Linked DNA regions of Mus musculus. The protein of the gene in region 1 purifies or fractionates together with the protein of each later gene. This does not show direct contact. Links are inferred from orthologs where the notes say so. Each region holds a gene or a part of one and is shown on either strand. Other genes may lie near its edges.

Region 1 (6,681 bases):
AAATCTTAAAAAAAAAAGACAAGGCTTCATATAGCACAGGCTGGCCAGGATCTTACTTTGTAGTCCAGGAAGGCCTTGTACTTTCTGGAAATCCTCTTGAGAACTTTATTAGAGGTTTGAGCCACCATACCCAGGAGATCTCCACACAGAGGTAGTCCTTTGTGCATGTACCCCTGCATGCATACAAATGCATGTAACAAAATATTGTAAAATAGTGTGCATAGAGAGGTGATTCCAGCAGGCCAGGCAAAGCAAAGGCCAATGAGAGTGGCCGTGGCTAGTGTCTCGGTTGGGTTTCTACTTTGTAATAAAACACCCCAACCAAGAGCAACATGGGGAGGAAAGGGTTTATCTCAGCTTACAGTGCTCAGATCATACTCCCTTTCTGAAGGAAGTCAGGGCAGGAACCTGGAAGCAGAAACTGAAGCAGAGGCCACAGAAGATGGCGCAGAGGCTCACTGGCTTGCTCTACCTGCTTCCTTACACAATCCAGGACCACATGCCCAGGAGTGACACCACCCACAGTGGGCTGGGACCTCCCACATCAATGACCAGTTAAGAGAAGGCTTCACTGGCTTACCCACAGGCCAACCCGGTGAGGGTGTTTTCTCAGGTGAGGTTCCCTTTTCTCAAATTGCTCTAGCTTGTGTCAAGTTGACATAAAAGTAGTCAGCACAGCTGGAAGTTGGAGAATACTCCAGGGCAAAGAGAAGTAAGTGCAAAGACAGGTAAGAGGTGTTCTGGGGGCTTCAAGTAGAATATATTTCATTACATCTGGAGCAAGTTTAAGTATGGTTTATTAGAACATAAGACCAGAAAAGAAAAATATATATACATAAGGTCAAAGAAACAGCAGAATCTTGAAAGTCTTTGATATCACTACCCACAAGGCAGTGGGAGTCATCAAACGGTGTTTTTTTTTTTTTTTTTTTTTTTTCTCATTTTGTTTTTTTTTTTTTTCCCCCTGTCATTTTATAGTCCAGGCTAATAGAAAATGTAATCCTCCTGCCTCAGCTTCCTGAATGGTGGGGTTCAGAAAACCGTTTTAAACAGGACAATGATGCCAGATTTAAGTTTTAGAAAAAAAAATCACTTCTGGATAATGAAGAATTTAATCGAAGGTGCCAGGCAGAGAGGCCATGTGGGAAGGCCAAATGGGGATTGTGGCTTGCATATCAGGGGCAAGGTAAATGAGTCAGGAGAGTACCCGGAGCAAGTTTGAATGTGCACCCAAATGTGCCAAGAAGCCTCCAGAGAATTCAAGCTCACCTAAGCAATGTTTATATTCATTTTCAGAGGGAGTGTTAGTGTTGGAAGAGCTCTTGAAAACTCAGAACCTTCTCCCCTCAACTTCATAGAGAAAGAAAAGCCCAGAGGCAAATTTGCTTGCTCAGGGTCAGACAACACATTAGTCAGTGGCAGAACATGTCTGTCTATAGTTACAAAGCCTCACCCATCCTCTAGTGAGACTAACCGGCTGGAGGTGCTGTGCCAACAGGAGTAGATCTGAGGAGCTGGAAAAACATTTGAAGGGATTGGATACAGTTTCTTCTGCTTTACCACTAGCAACTCCAGGGATAGTTCTTTCCTGCAGAACACTGTGCTAAGAGAAGCAGATACAGACGTGTGCAGTAGGAGTGCCTATCTGCTCCCAACATCCCCACTCCAGCCTAGAAAGGGAGTAAAGGGCAGACAGTAGCCCCGTCCTTCCCTCCCACGTGGTTTCTCCAGCCAAGTTCTCACGGAGTGGCCCCTCCTTCAGCGGCTCCACTGTTACCATGGCAATTGGGTGGGTGGACAGCACGTCCTATCTAGAGGCCAGCAGCCCTCGCGTGGGGAGTTACCATAACAACCCCCCTAGTAATAGAGGGGGTTGGGTCCCGCCTCCCTTCCCCCGCAAATCGAGAGGTAGGTGGTTTGATTGGCAGCTGGGCACACGAAAGAGGGAAAGGGAAGAAAAGGAGTCAAATAAAGATCAACGAAGGAACTAGAGGAGAGGAGGCAACAATAATAAAAGGGGGAAAAGGAAGGGAAGGTGTATGCGCACGCGCACCAGCGGGTGGTCGCGCTCCTTCCACTCCAGGCTCTAGCGAGACTGGGTCCGCGCTCGCCCTCCGCCCGCTCTCCTGCGCCTGCGCGCAGGTGTCGGCGCCCCGCAGGAGGGGGCGCCCGGCGCGTTCGCGTCACGGTCGGCTCTGCGCGTGCGCAGGGCAGCCGGCGACTCGGGTTGCAGGCGCGCGGGTGAGAGCGCCTGTCAGCCGCTGGGTCGGTCCTCCCGCTGGCCCTCCCCCTCCCCGGCCTTCGGGGCAGGCGCGGTGGAGCCCGCCCCTCGAGTCCCCCGATGGGGGAGAAGCGGCGACGGCGGCAGCGGAGTGAGCGAGCCGGAGCGTGAGTGGCCCCGCGGCGGCCATGGGCGACCCAGCCCCCGCCCGCAGCCTGGACGACATCGACCTGTCTGCCCTGCGGGTGAGCACCACCCCAGCCTCGCGCCCGCGACCCCTGCCCTTACCCCGAGCTCTCGCCGCCCGGGGGTTCGCCCTCTGGAGATTCTGGGAGCCAGTTTGGTCCCCACCCTGTGCTGCCCTCCCCCACACTTGCGTGCCACCCCTACCTTGCTGCTGGGATCCGAGTCCCCTCCTTTATAGGCGTTTGAGGGTCACCTCTGGTGTCCCTAAACACAGCCCTGCATCACCTGCAGAGCCTTTCTTGTGTCCCCCCTCTCTCGGCCCTCATGTCTGCTTCCTCCACCTCCTCTTCTGGCTCCTGGAATTTTGACTTTGCAACTGCCTCAGCCTCCCCCTCATCCCTCGTTTTCTTCCTCGCCTACCCCTAAATTGCAAGTTGGGCGGATTTCACCTCCTCGCTCCACCCCACACACCTCCTACGTCTCCATCCCACGTTCACTTTCCCTATCCCTTTTCTCGTGTTTCAAGTGCAGCTTTTCAGACCCAGGCATTTCCGGTCTCGGGGTCCCTGAATATTACATTACTAACTCTGCAGCCGCGTGGGGCTGGGAGGACAGACAAGTGCACAGTGGGAGGAAGGGAAGCCTGGATTTCCTCGGAAACTCGGGCCGGAAGACGATGTTTACATACATGTACAAGCACACACACACACACACACAAACACACACGCACACACAACACGCTGCCTGAGGTCAGTAGGGAGGGAACTAGTGGGAGTGGAGGCAAAGGAGAGTTGGAGGGAGGGGTTCATTAGGGAAGCGGTTAAGAGGAAACAACTGTGTCAGGAATGCTTTCAAATAACCCATTTATTGTTCCACGTGGGGCACTTACTCTCTCTCCTCCCGGAATTTTCAGTTCAGCATTTGTAAGTGTTCTCTAGCGGGCAGCTTTGTCTTAAGGGCAACATAGAAATTTCAAGGTGAACCATTCCAGACTGTCTCCCAGGTGGTGTTTTGATTCCATGCCCGGTGAGCTTTCCCAACCGGCGGCGTAGGTGTAGCTAGAGCAGGATTCCCCACCTCATGCTTACCTTCTCAGAAGGTCTCTGTACACATTGGCTTCTGGCTTGTAAATTACCCAGGGAAAAGGCAGCCACCTCACAAGTGCCCCGGATATGACTGGAGGGGAGAGAGAATTGAAGAGAGCAGAGTCATGTTGTTAATTGGGTTTCTCTAGGTGACACAGTTTTTTTTTTTTTTTTTTTTTTTTTCCCTCCCTTGCCATTCAGGTCATAATTTGTTTGGTGCAACGTTGGGTTATGAGACCTGACTTACTGGAGATAACTTTCTGGAGAACAAGACTGAGTACTGGATCTCCCTCTTTCCTCTCTTCTCTCTCTCTCTCTCTCCCTCCCTCTCTTCTTCTGTCCCCCTCTCTCCTTCTCTCTCCCTCTGTGTGTGCCTGCGCTTGCTTTGACAGGGGAGGCTTTAGATCAGCTTAGTCAGTGTTTAAACTGGGATACTCGAGTCCTTTGGGATGTAAGATGGAAATCCAGGTTTTGAGTAAAGTTTTAATGTGCTTGCATTTGGAATGCAATTGCAAACTGAAGTTGTTGATTAACTCTGGCCGCAGGTTGTCTGGCTGTGGTGACCATAAAGAAACACTGTCACCCAGTGGGTAGGTGCAGGCAGTGACCTTTGATTTTTACCTCTGGTCCTCTACTGCTCTTTTCTCTTGGTTTCTCTGGTAACTTTATCCTGGGCCCCCAACTTGGGATTTCCAGAAAATTACTATTTGCCCTTGGACATGGTATTTCCCTCCGTGAAGTATGTTAGCCTCTTTCCATGCTTACTCCTCCGGGGGTTCCTCTCCTTCCCTTCTAGAGAACTGGGTGACCTTTTCCTTGTACTTCTGTCTGTCCTGCCTTCTGCCTCTGAAGAAAACAGCTCATGTCTCTCACTCTGGTACTCCAGGACCTGTGGAAGAGCTGTACTTTCTTGAATGGGGCTGGAAAGGCTGCTCTCTCCTTGCTGGCTTCTCTCTCAATTGCCAGTCCGGTCCGACACATCTGTGAGAACTGCTTGTGGCTCTGTCAGGCAGCTGGCCCAGTCACACCTTGTTCTTCTGTTCCCGTTTTCTAGTTAGGAATGGAACCATTGGGAGAATTAACCAAGTGTGCAAGCCTGGTGTCAGTGGTTGGGTTAGGGTGAGGGAAGAGCATCCTTAGGGTTGAGAAGCTAGCCTCTATGACCTCAGATGTCTGTCTCCTCTTGTTTCAAGATAAGGCTTGGTTTTCAGCTGACGGTGAGAGTAATAGTCTGATATTAGAGGAAGACTGAGTTGCACTAATCTCTTAGTAAGGTGACCAGAAGGACCTGCTACTTTGTTACCACACCACCCTTGGCTTCTTGGGCTGTTTGTCCATCAGTATGGTGGTGTAGTGTAGTGGGGGATGAACATGAGTCCAGTTGCTTTTCTGAATTGAAACCCCAGCTTCCTTACCTCCTGTAAGATACAGACGTTGGTTTGTTATCCTTACCTCCCTTCCTTCAGACTCTGCGGTCTAACTTCCCTAAGCTCTGTTTTCTTGCCTGTATGGTGGAATTGGCAATAGCATTAGACATAGTTACTGAAGTTAAATGAAATGGTGCACAGTAAGTATTTAGCTCAGTTCCTAGCGTAGAGTGACTGTATTACCAGTCAGAGAAGCCTCCTAGAACTCTAATAACACTTCTCTGCTTTATGTCTCTATAAAATTATTTTTTTCCATACTTATTATCACTAGTTGACATAGATCTATTTCTGTCGATCTTGACTAAAATGTGGATGAAGGCTGGAGGTATAGCTCTGTAGTAATTGTCTGCTTAACATGGTGACACACTAGGATTTTCAGTGCTACACAAATGAAAGCATACTGTAAGCTAAAATTCTGACTGTCCTGTTCCCTCTGTGTCCTTGTGCCTAAGCATTTTATGTAGTGGGACTCAGATATTTGTTAGGTAAGTGCATGCTGCAACAACTGGAAGCTGTTAGTGTATGTTTGCTTAAAGTAACAAAGAAAGCTAGACATGGCCAGAGGAGATGGCTCAGTGGGTAAAGGCAGTCACTACCAAGTCTGATAACAACCTGAGCTTGATCCTCAGAACCCACCTGGTAGAAGAAGAAAGTGGGTTGTCCTCTGACTTCTACACATGTGCCAGGCTGCTTGTATGCATGAGGTCATATATATAACCACACAAAGGTATACACATATACACACAAATATAAGTAAATATGCTAGGTGCTGTAGCACACACTTTTAATTCCAGAAGAAAAGTAGGTGGAGGTCTTTGAGTTACAGGACAGCCTGGTTGGTCTACATAATAGAGAAACCCTGCCTTAAAAGACAAAACAAAAGTTCAAAGGCAGCCTGGAATACATGAGAACCTGTCTCAAAAACAAGGACAGAAAGAGTCTTTTCTGAGGTGCTTTGGAATCAGACCTTGCCTTGTGATAAAGCAGAGCTCTGGGTGCTTCTGATCAAGCAATGGCTAAAATAAAGTTTGTATTATCCTAGAGGAAATAGTATGAAGTCATCTTTGCCTGCGTCCCAACTTTGTTATATTCCGGGAGAGTCTTCTGACTTGGAACTGTTGGCTTTTCACAGAGGATAAAGCATGAACAAAAGCAGCTGGAAGCGGGGAGCAGACCCCAGGCTCCCCTGGGGACCTCTTTCCTTTGACATGACTGCTTTTGGTTGACCCACTTCGTAAATCAAACAGTTTCTTTTTTACTGCCCAGCAGCTCCAAGTTTTAGACTGCAGTGTCTCTGCAGCTGTGGAGCCAGGCAGTGCGGCTGTATCGAAGTAATGCCACGACACACCTTCAAGGGACTTGTTACTGACTGGGTGGTAGCTGCTGACAGGTGGATTTTCTCAAATGACTTTGCATGTTTTATATCTCTCAAATGATTATGTGTGTTCTTTGAGGATGCCGTTCCTCCTCTGTCTGATGCTGTAGAGCCAGCACCACTAGAACGCTGGCAGCGGGCATATGTCTAGGCCGCTGAGCAATGTGGGACTGCTGCTGTGTGCTGAGATGCTAACTGTCCACGTGTTGATGACAGATGTCCTAGGCAGATGAATGGGAGGACTGACCTCTTGCAGCAGCGGTGAGGACATTTAGTGACTTTCCCCCTAGAGGATGGCAGGAGGAGGGGGATTTGAAAGCTGTGGTATTTAAGGCGATGTAAAATGTTGCTTTGATAAAATGATGGAAGGATGATGGGAGAGGCCAT
Region 2 (5,900 bases), on another chromosome or scaffold:
TGGGCACTCAGCCCCCAGTCTTACTGGCCTGCCTGGCTAAGGGCCCTTACCACTGCTCCCTCGAGACTCCAATGTGAGAAGGGCGCTGCCAGCTTCCAGGTCATAAAGAACGGTATCACCAGAACGAAAGGAGGCCACGACATGGGCAGGTTCAGTGCTGGTGAAGGCCACTGAGGTGGGAATTCCATGTTCTGAGAGTACAGGGGAAGAGAGAAGGCTACTCAGAGCGCTGGTCCTGCCCTCCTCAGGAGCCACCAGAGTCCTGGGCTCTGTATCCTGCTTGTGAGACACTGGGGTCAAAACTCACCTCCATCCATGGGGAAGGTACAGAGGCAGCTTGGACCACTGCTGCTGGGATCCCAGATGCGGACGGTGCCATCGGCAGAGCAGGATGCTAGGCGCTGGGAGGTGGGACTGAAGGCCAGACCCCACACAGCATCCCCATGGCCTTCCAGGACATGGCTCAGCACACTTGGGTCTGGGCAGGCCGGGAGGAAATAGATTGTCAGGGACACCAGCTACACTGATTGGCCCAAGGGCTTTATCTTTGCTGGGACCTGGGTGGCTGCCACTGCCCACAAGCTCCTCTGACTCTAGGGCTCAGGAACAGCTCAAGAGCTTAGAAAATGAGGCTTCCATGTTCACTGTCTCTCCAGGGCCAAGGTCAGCAGCTCAGGGGACCAGTGGAGCACGAAGGAAAGCTGCCTCGGCTCCCCTTTTAGTCCCTGCAATGTCTTTCCCTTCTACTTTCTCAGGCTCTGCTGTTCAAAGGACCTTCTGTGGTCTCTCTCGCTGTTAAGTTCACATGGTTCTGGGTCAAGTCCTGCTGACACCTGAAGTCCACTTAGGATTGATGCCTGACCTTCCCAAATGATCATTAGTTTGACAGGAAATGCAACTCTGTATTCTGCCATAACCAATTTAGCACAAAGCCATGTTCAAGAGTAAACAGCACTCAGGAGGCAGAGGCAGGAGGATCTCTATGAGTTTAAGGCCAACCTGGGTCTACATAAAGACAACACAGTGAAATCCTATCTTTTAAAAGAGGGGTGGGAGTGGGGTTGGAGAAATGGCTCAGTGGTAAGAGCATTTGCTTTTACTCACGACCATCTGTAACACAGAGATACATGTAAAAAGAGCTCACTAAGCACCAACAAGTTAGGCAAGGGCACTGAGTAGGAGGGAACTCTGGGTATCTCTTCACATTAAAAAAAACTACTTAAAATTTTTTTATTTAATTTTATTCTTTTATGGTTACCAATGGTGGTAGCACACACCTTTAAGGGAGGGAGGCAGAGGCAGGTGGAGTTTGAAGGCAGCCTGGGCTACAGAATGAGTTCCAGGACAGACGGGGCTAAACGGAGAAACTGTCTCAAAAAACGAAGCCAACCCAAACAAAAAAACAAAACAAAATAAAAAACTTTTTTACTTAAGCAGAGATGGAGTCTATAATAAAGACATTTCTTTCTTTCTTTCTTTCTTTTCCTTTCTTCCTTTCTCTCTCTCTCTCTCTCTCTCTCTCTCTCTCTCTCTCTCTCTCTCTCTCTCTCTCTCTCTCTCTTTCTTTCTGTGTAGCCCCAGCTGACCAAGAACTCAGCAGTTCTGGCTCACTGAGCTCTGCTTGTCTTCTGCCTCAAGGGCTGGAATTAAAGGTGTACATTACTACATGCAGCCTATAAGACATTTTTTAAAAATGTACTTACCCTCTCTTAAAAAGAAAAAGAACTTTAAAAAGTTTTAAAAAAATACTTAAAAGAATTTTTTCTTAAACTATATTGTGAGCACACTCTTTCTCTCCCCAGCTCTCCCCAGATTTTCCCACCTCCTTACTGCCCAAGCAACTTCATGTTCCTTCTCTCTAAAAGACTAAAACTAAAGCAGAAGATTTTAAAAAAAGAAAAAGAAAAGGAAAAATAAAGGAAGGAAGGAAGGAAGGAAGGAAGGAAGGAAGGAAGGAAGAAAGAAAGAAAGGAAGAAAGAAAGAAAGAAAGAGCCAAAAATGAAAGAAACATAAAATTTCCCCCAACAACATGGAGTGTGTTCTGAGTTGTCAGCCACCCCTAGGCATGAAGCCTGCCCTGGAGTGTCACTGATAGACCTAGTGACTCTGGCTCAGAGGCAGCTCATTTCCCTTCCTCACAGAAGTCAATTGTAAATAGCTTCTTGGTGAGGGATAGGACGTGGTGTTCATTTCTCCTAGTAAAAGACTTTTGTCTGTTTGTTTGGTTTTTCAAGACCAGGTTTCTCTGTCCTAGAACATACTTTGTAGACCAGGCTGCTGGCCTCAATTAAAAGTGTGTGCTACCATTGCCAGGTAAAAGGCTTCTTAAAAACAGACTTAAAAACTAGTTTTAAGACCTTGTTTCAAAATAGAATAAACAAAAACACGGGAGTTAATATAAAATGAGGTCCTCAGGAAGGTGAGAAACATCCAAGAACATGGGTGAGGGTGTTCCCAAGACAGTGTTACCCACTAATTAACTCTTTTTTTAATAACAATAAAAAATATTTATTTATTTATTATATGTAAGTACACTGTAGCTGTCTTCAGACACTCCAGAAGAGGGCATCAGATCCCATTACGGATGGTTGTGAGCCACCATGTGGGATTTGAACTCAGGACCTTCGAGAGCAGTCAGTGCTCTTACTCCCTGAGCCATCTCTCCAGCCTCCTCCTATTTAACTCTTATTCCTCCATCTACCTGCCCACTTACCTGCTCATCTGTCCATCCCTCCCGCCTGCCCTGCCCCGTGTCTGGTCTGCACAGAGACAAGGTTGCTCTGTGTAGTCCTGACCACTCTGGTACTCTGTAGACCAGGTTGGCCTCAAACTCAGAGATCCTTCTGCCTCTACCTTTCAAGTGTTGGGATTAAAGGTGTGCACCATTGCGCCTGCTGGCTGCTGCCCAGCACGTGTGTGTGTGTGTGTGTGTGTGTGTGTTCACGCACGCAAGTATGTGAGAACCCAAGTGGTGGCAAGATGACAACTCATGTTGGTGTTGGTTCCCTCCTTCTAATGTGGGTTCTAGGGACTGGACTCTGACCATCAGGGGTGCCTTTACCTGCTAAGCCATCTTGCTGGTCCTATGTAGTGTGTTATTTTGAGACAAGACTTTTCTATGTCGAGCAGGCTGACCTGGACCTTAAATTAAAATCCCCCTGCCTCAAACTCCTGAGCACTAAGATTATCACTTCCTCTTTAACTTTTTCTTGGAGTGGAGAAGACTTTTCCTCCCAATAGGGATTCACTATGTCCGGGCAGTAGCTTGATTGTTATGTGGCACAGCAGGCCTGAAACCCAATACATAATCAAGCTGGTCTTGAACTTGTGATTGCGGTTATCCCTCCTGCCATTACTGCTCCATTGTAAGATGAAACAGCAATTTTTTTTTTTTTGAGACACTATGTAGCTCTAACTGGCCTAGAACTTAGTATGTAGACAAGGCTAGCCTTGAACTCAGAGCATTGTTTGCTTCTGCCTCCTGAGTGCGATTAAAGATTTATGTCTTGTTTTTTGTTTTTGTTTGTCTGGTTTGTTTGTTTTTGAGATATGATTTCATGGCCTCAAACTCCCTATGTAACCAACAATGAACTTAGCATTCTGATCCACCCAGCTCCTGTGGTACTGGGATGGGACCCAGAGCTTCACTCCACCTACTTACTGATCCCCATCTCCAGCTCCTCCACTTAACTCTTAAAGGGCTAAAGGACAAGGCCTCAACTCCCTGCCATTTATGGTCCCCCCAATGCTTCTCAGCTCACCTCCTCTGTTTCTAACAAACCCCTGACCCACAATAAGACCTTAGCTGATCCCCAACATAGTCCACCAAGTTGACCAAGCCCATTCTGGCCCTGACCCAGGCTAGCCTCTGCTTCCCCAAAAGCCAGCTCACACTGTCCCTCAAATGCAGCCCAACTCTCCCCTCACCATTACGCCTCATCTCCCTCCGCCCACTCTCTTAACCTTAAGTCAGACCAGGAAGCTTACAGTGCTACTTCCCAGAGCTGTGACAGGAGGAGGGAGTGGCAGGGTCTGTCCTCACCATAGCCATCATATGGGTCCATGTTGAGGTCAGGAATCTTCCAGCTGTGGATCCTGGCATCAGCCCCACCACTGTAACAGTACTCGCTGTTGCTGCCCATGGTGACTGCCAGCACCGGGCCCCTGCAGGGTGCAAGGGAGAGGCGATGCAAGGCAGCTAAGGCTCAAGCCTTCCTTGCTCACGGGAGCTTGAGGATTTCTCCTAGCTTTTAGTTTTGTTTTGTTTTTGTTTTTTCAAGACAGGGTTTCTCTGTGTAGCCCTGGCTGTCCTGGAACTCACTCTGTAGACTAGGCTGGCCTTGAACTCACAGAGATCTGCCTGCCTCTGCCTCCCAAGTATTGGGATCCAAAGTACATGCCACCATGCCTGGCTCTTCTAGCTATTTTTAAATATCATTTAAATGTATTTATTGTCATATATCACAATGCGCATGTGGAGGTCAGAAGACAACTTCTGGAGTTGGTTCTCTCCTCCTAGCACCTGAGTCCTGGGGATCAAACTTATGTTGTCAAGCTTAGTAGAAGGCACCTTTAGCCACCTAGCCCTCCCATCAGTCAGTGTCCTTTCCTAGGTATATCTTAAGGATGCCATGAGGAATTTGGCATCTTTGCTCTAGGGGCCTCAGTGAAACCACAATGGGAACCAACATGGCCCCTGAGTAAGGGGTATGCCCAAGCCTCCACTGCTCCAGGTCTCCAGGGCAGCAAGAAGCAGCAGCCCATCTATGCTGCTGGGTCGCAGGGCTTACAACAGGCTCAGCCATCTCCCTACCTGTGAGCTCGGAAAGCATGAATCGGCTCCACATCCAGTGCAGCATTTCTGTGGGAAAAAGAGGAATCCCATCACTAGGACCCCAGGTCCTAAGGCCCCGCACCCTCCAGGGTGGCACCCTTACTTCTTGGCCGTAACTGCCTTCTGCAGGTTCCACAGTTTGAGTGTGCCATCCTCAGAGGCAGTAAGCAGTGCTGACTGGCTGTGGTGGAAGGCCAGGGAGCGGATGCCATCGTAGTGTGAGCGGAGGGTAAACTTGGGGTTCCATGTCTTCTTGAAAGCGTCTTTGCTGTCAGACAGCTGGGGATGGGGAGCTGCCTCAGTGTCCTCTTGGATTCCCCAGCACTCATACAAACACTGACAACCACCCATGAACTGACTCGACTAGAACTGACGGTCCCCAGCCTGATATTTCTTTCTGTGTGCCTCAGAAGAGCCCTTCACACATACTCAGGTTTTAGCAGCAAGGGAGGCTCTGGAGGGGCCAGAGGAACCTGACTCTTTGGGGCCTCACAGTTCAGAGGCCTCTAGGAAAAGAGAGGCAGGTCTTTCCTAAACACACAGAACCGGAAACTCTTAAGGATGAGAAAGGGACACCAAGGCACCCTAGCCTCCTCTGCACAGACCAAGAGGTTGTCATGAGGGAGTGACAAATTATGTAGGACTTAACCAGTACCAGGGAAGAGGACGTTTAGGAACAAGGTGAGTATGTCAAGGCCCTGAGGCAGGAGACAGCAAGGCTGGGATACACAAATTCAGAAACATGCCACACACACAAGAAGAAGGCAGAAAGGTCAATGGCAGGCACGACAGTGGATCCCTTAGAAACCGGCAAAGCCCCAGAGTAATGAGAAGCCACATGGGCTGCAGAGCAGTGGATGACAGTCGGTCCTGGCCTCTCTGGGGAAAGTCAGCATAATTGCAGAGATAGGTCCCGAAGCTTCAGTCACAGGGAACGACCTTCACTATGACTTGGGAACCAAGTTCTAGGACAGGGGAGTCTGGAGACTCGAGCCTCAGACCCCGGGAGAGACACTCTGAAAGCACGTGCCCTAAAAGGTGAGGCTGCTCACTCTGAGTGGAAGG

The links.
Region 2: the proteins of Mink1 (region 1) and Strn4 purify together in Homo sapiens (affinity purification with mass spectrometry; 3 studies listed by BioGRID and IntAct, with this or other methods). This does not show direct contact. The link is inferred for Mus musculus from reciprocal best matches to the Homo sapiens genes MINK1 and STRN4.

Annotation. Positions count from the first base shown.
Region 1 is NC_000077.6:70,560,661-70,567,341, forward strand, and holds the start of Mink1 (misshapen-like kinase 1), read left to right. Parts: upstream 1-2,220; 5' UTR 2,221-2,409; coding exon 2,410-2,466; intron 2,467-6,681. UniProt on the Homo sapiens protein: Serine/threonine kinase which acts as a negative regulator of Ras-related Rap2-mediated signal transduction to control neuronal structure and AMPA receptor trafficking.
Region 2 is NC_000073.6:16,832,140-16,838,039, reverse strand, and holds part of Strn4 (striatin-4), read right to left. Parts: intron 5,115-5,900; coding exon 4,939-5,114; intron 4,863-4,938; coding exon 4,815-4,862; intron 4,166-4,814; coding exon 4,044-4,165; intron 479-4,043; coding exon 308-478; intron 192-307; coding exon 51-191; intron 1-50. UniProt on the Homo sapiens protein: Calmodulin-binding scaffolding protein which is the center of the striatin-interacting phosphatase and kinase (STRIPAK) complexes.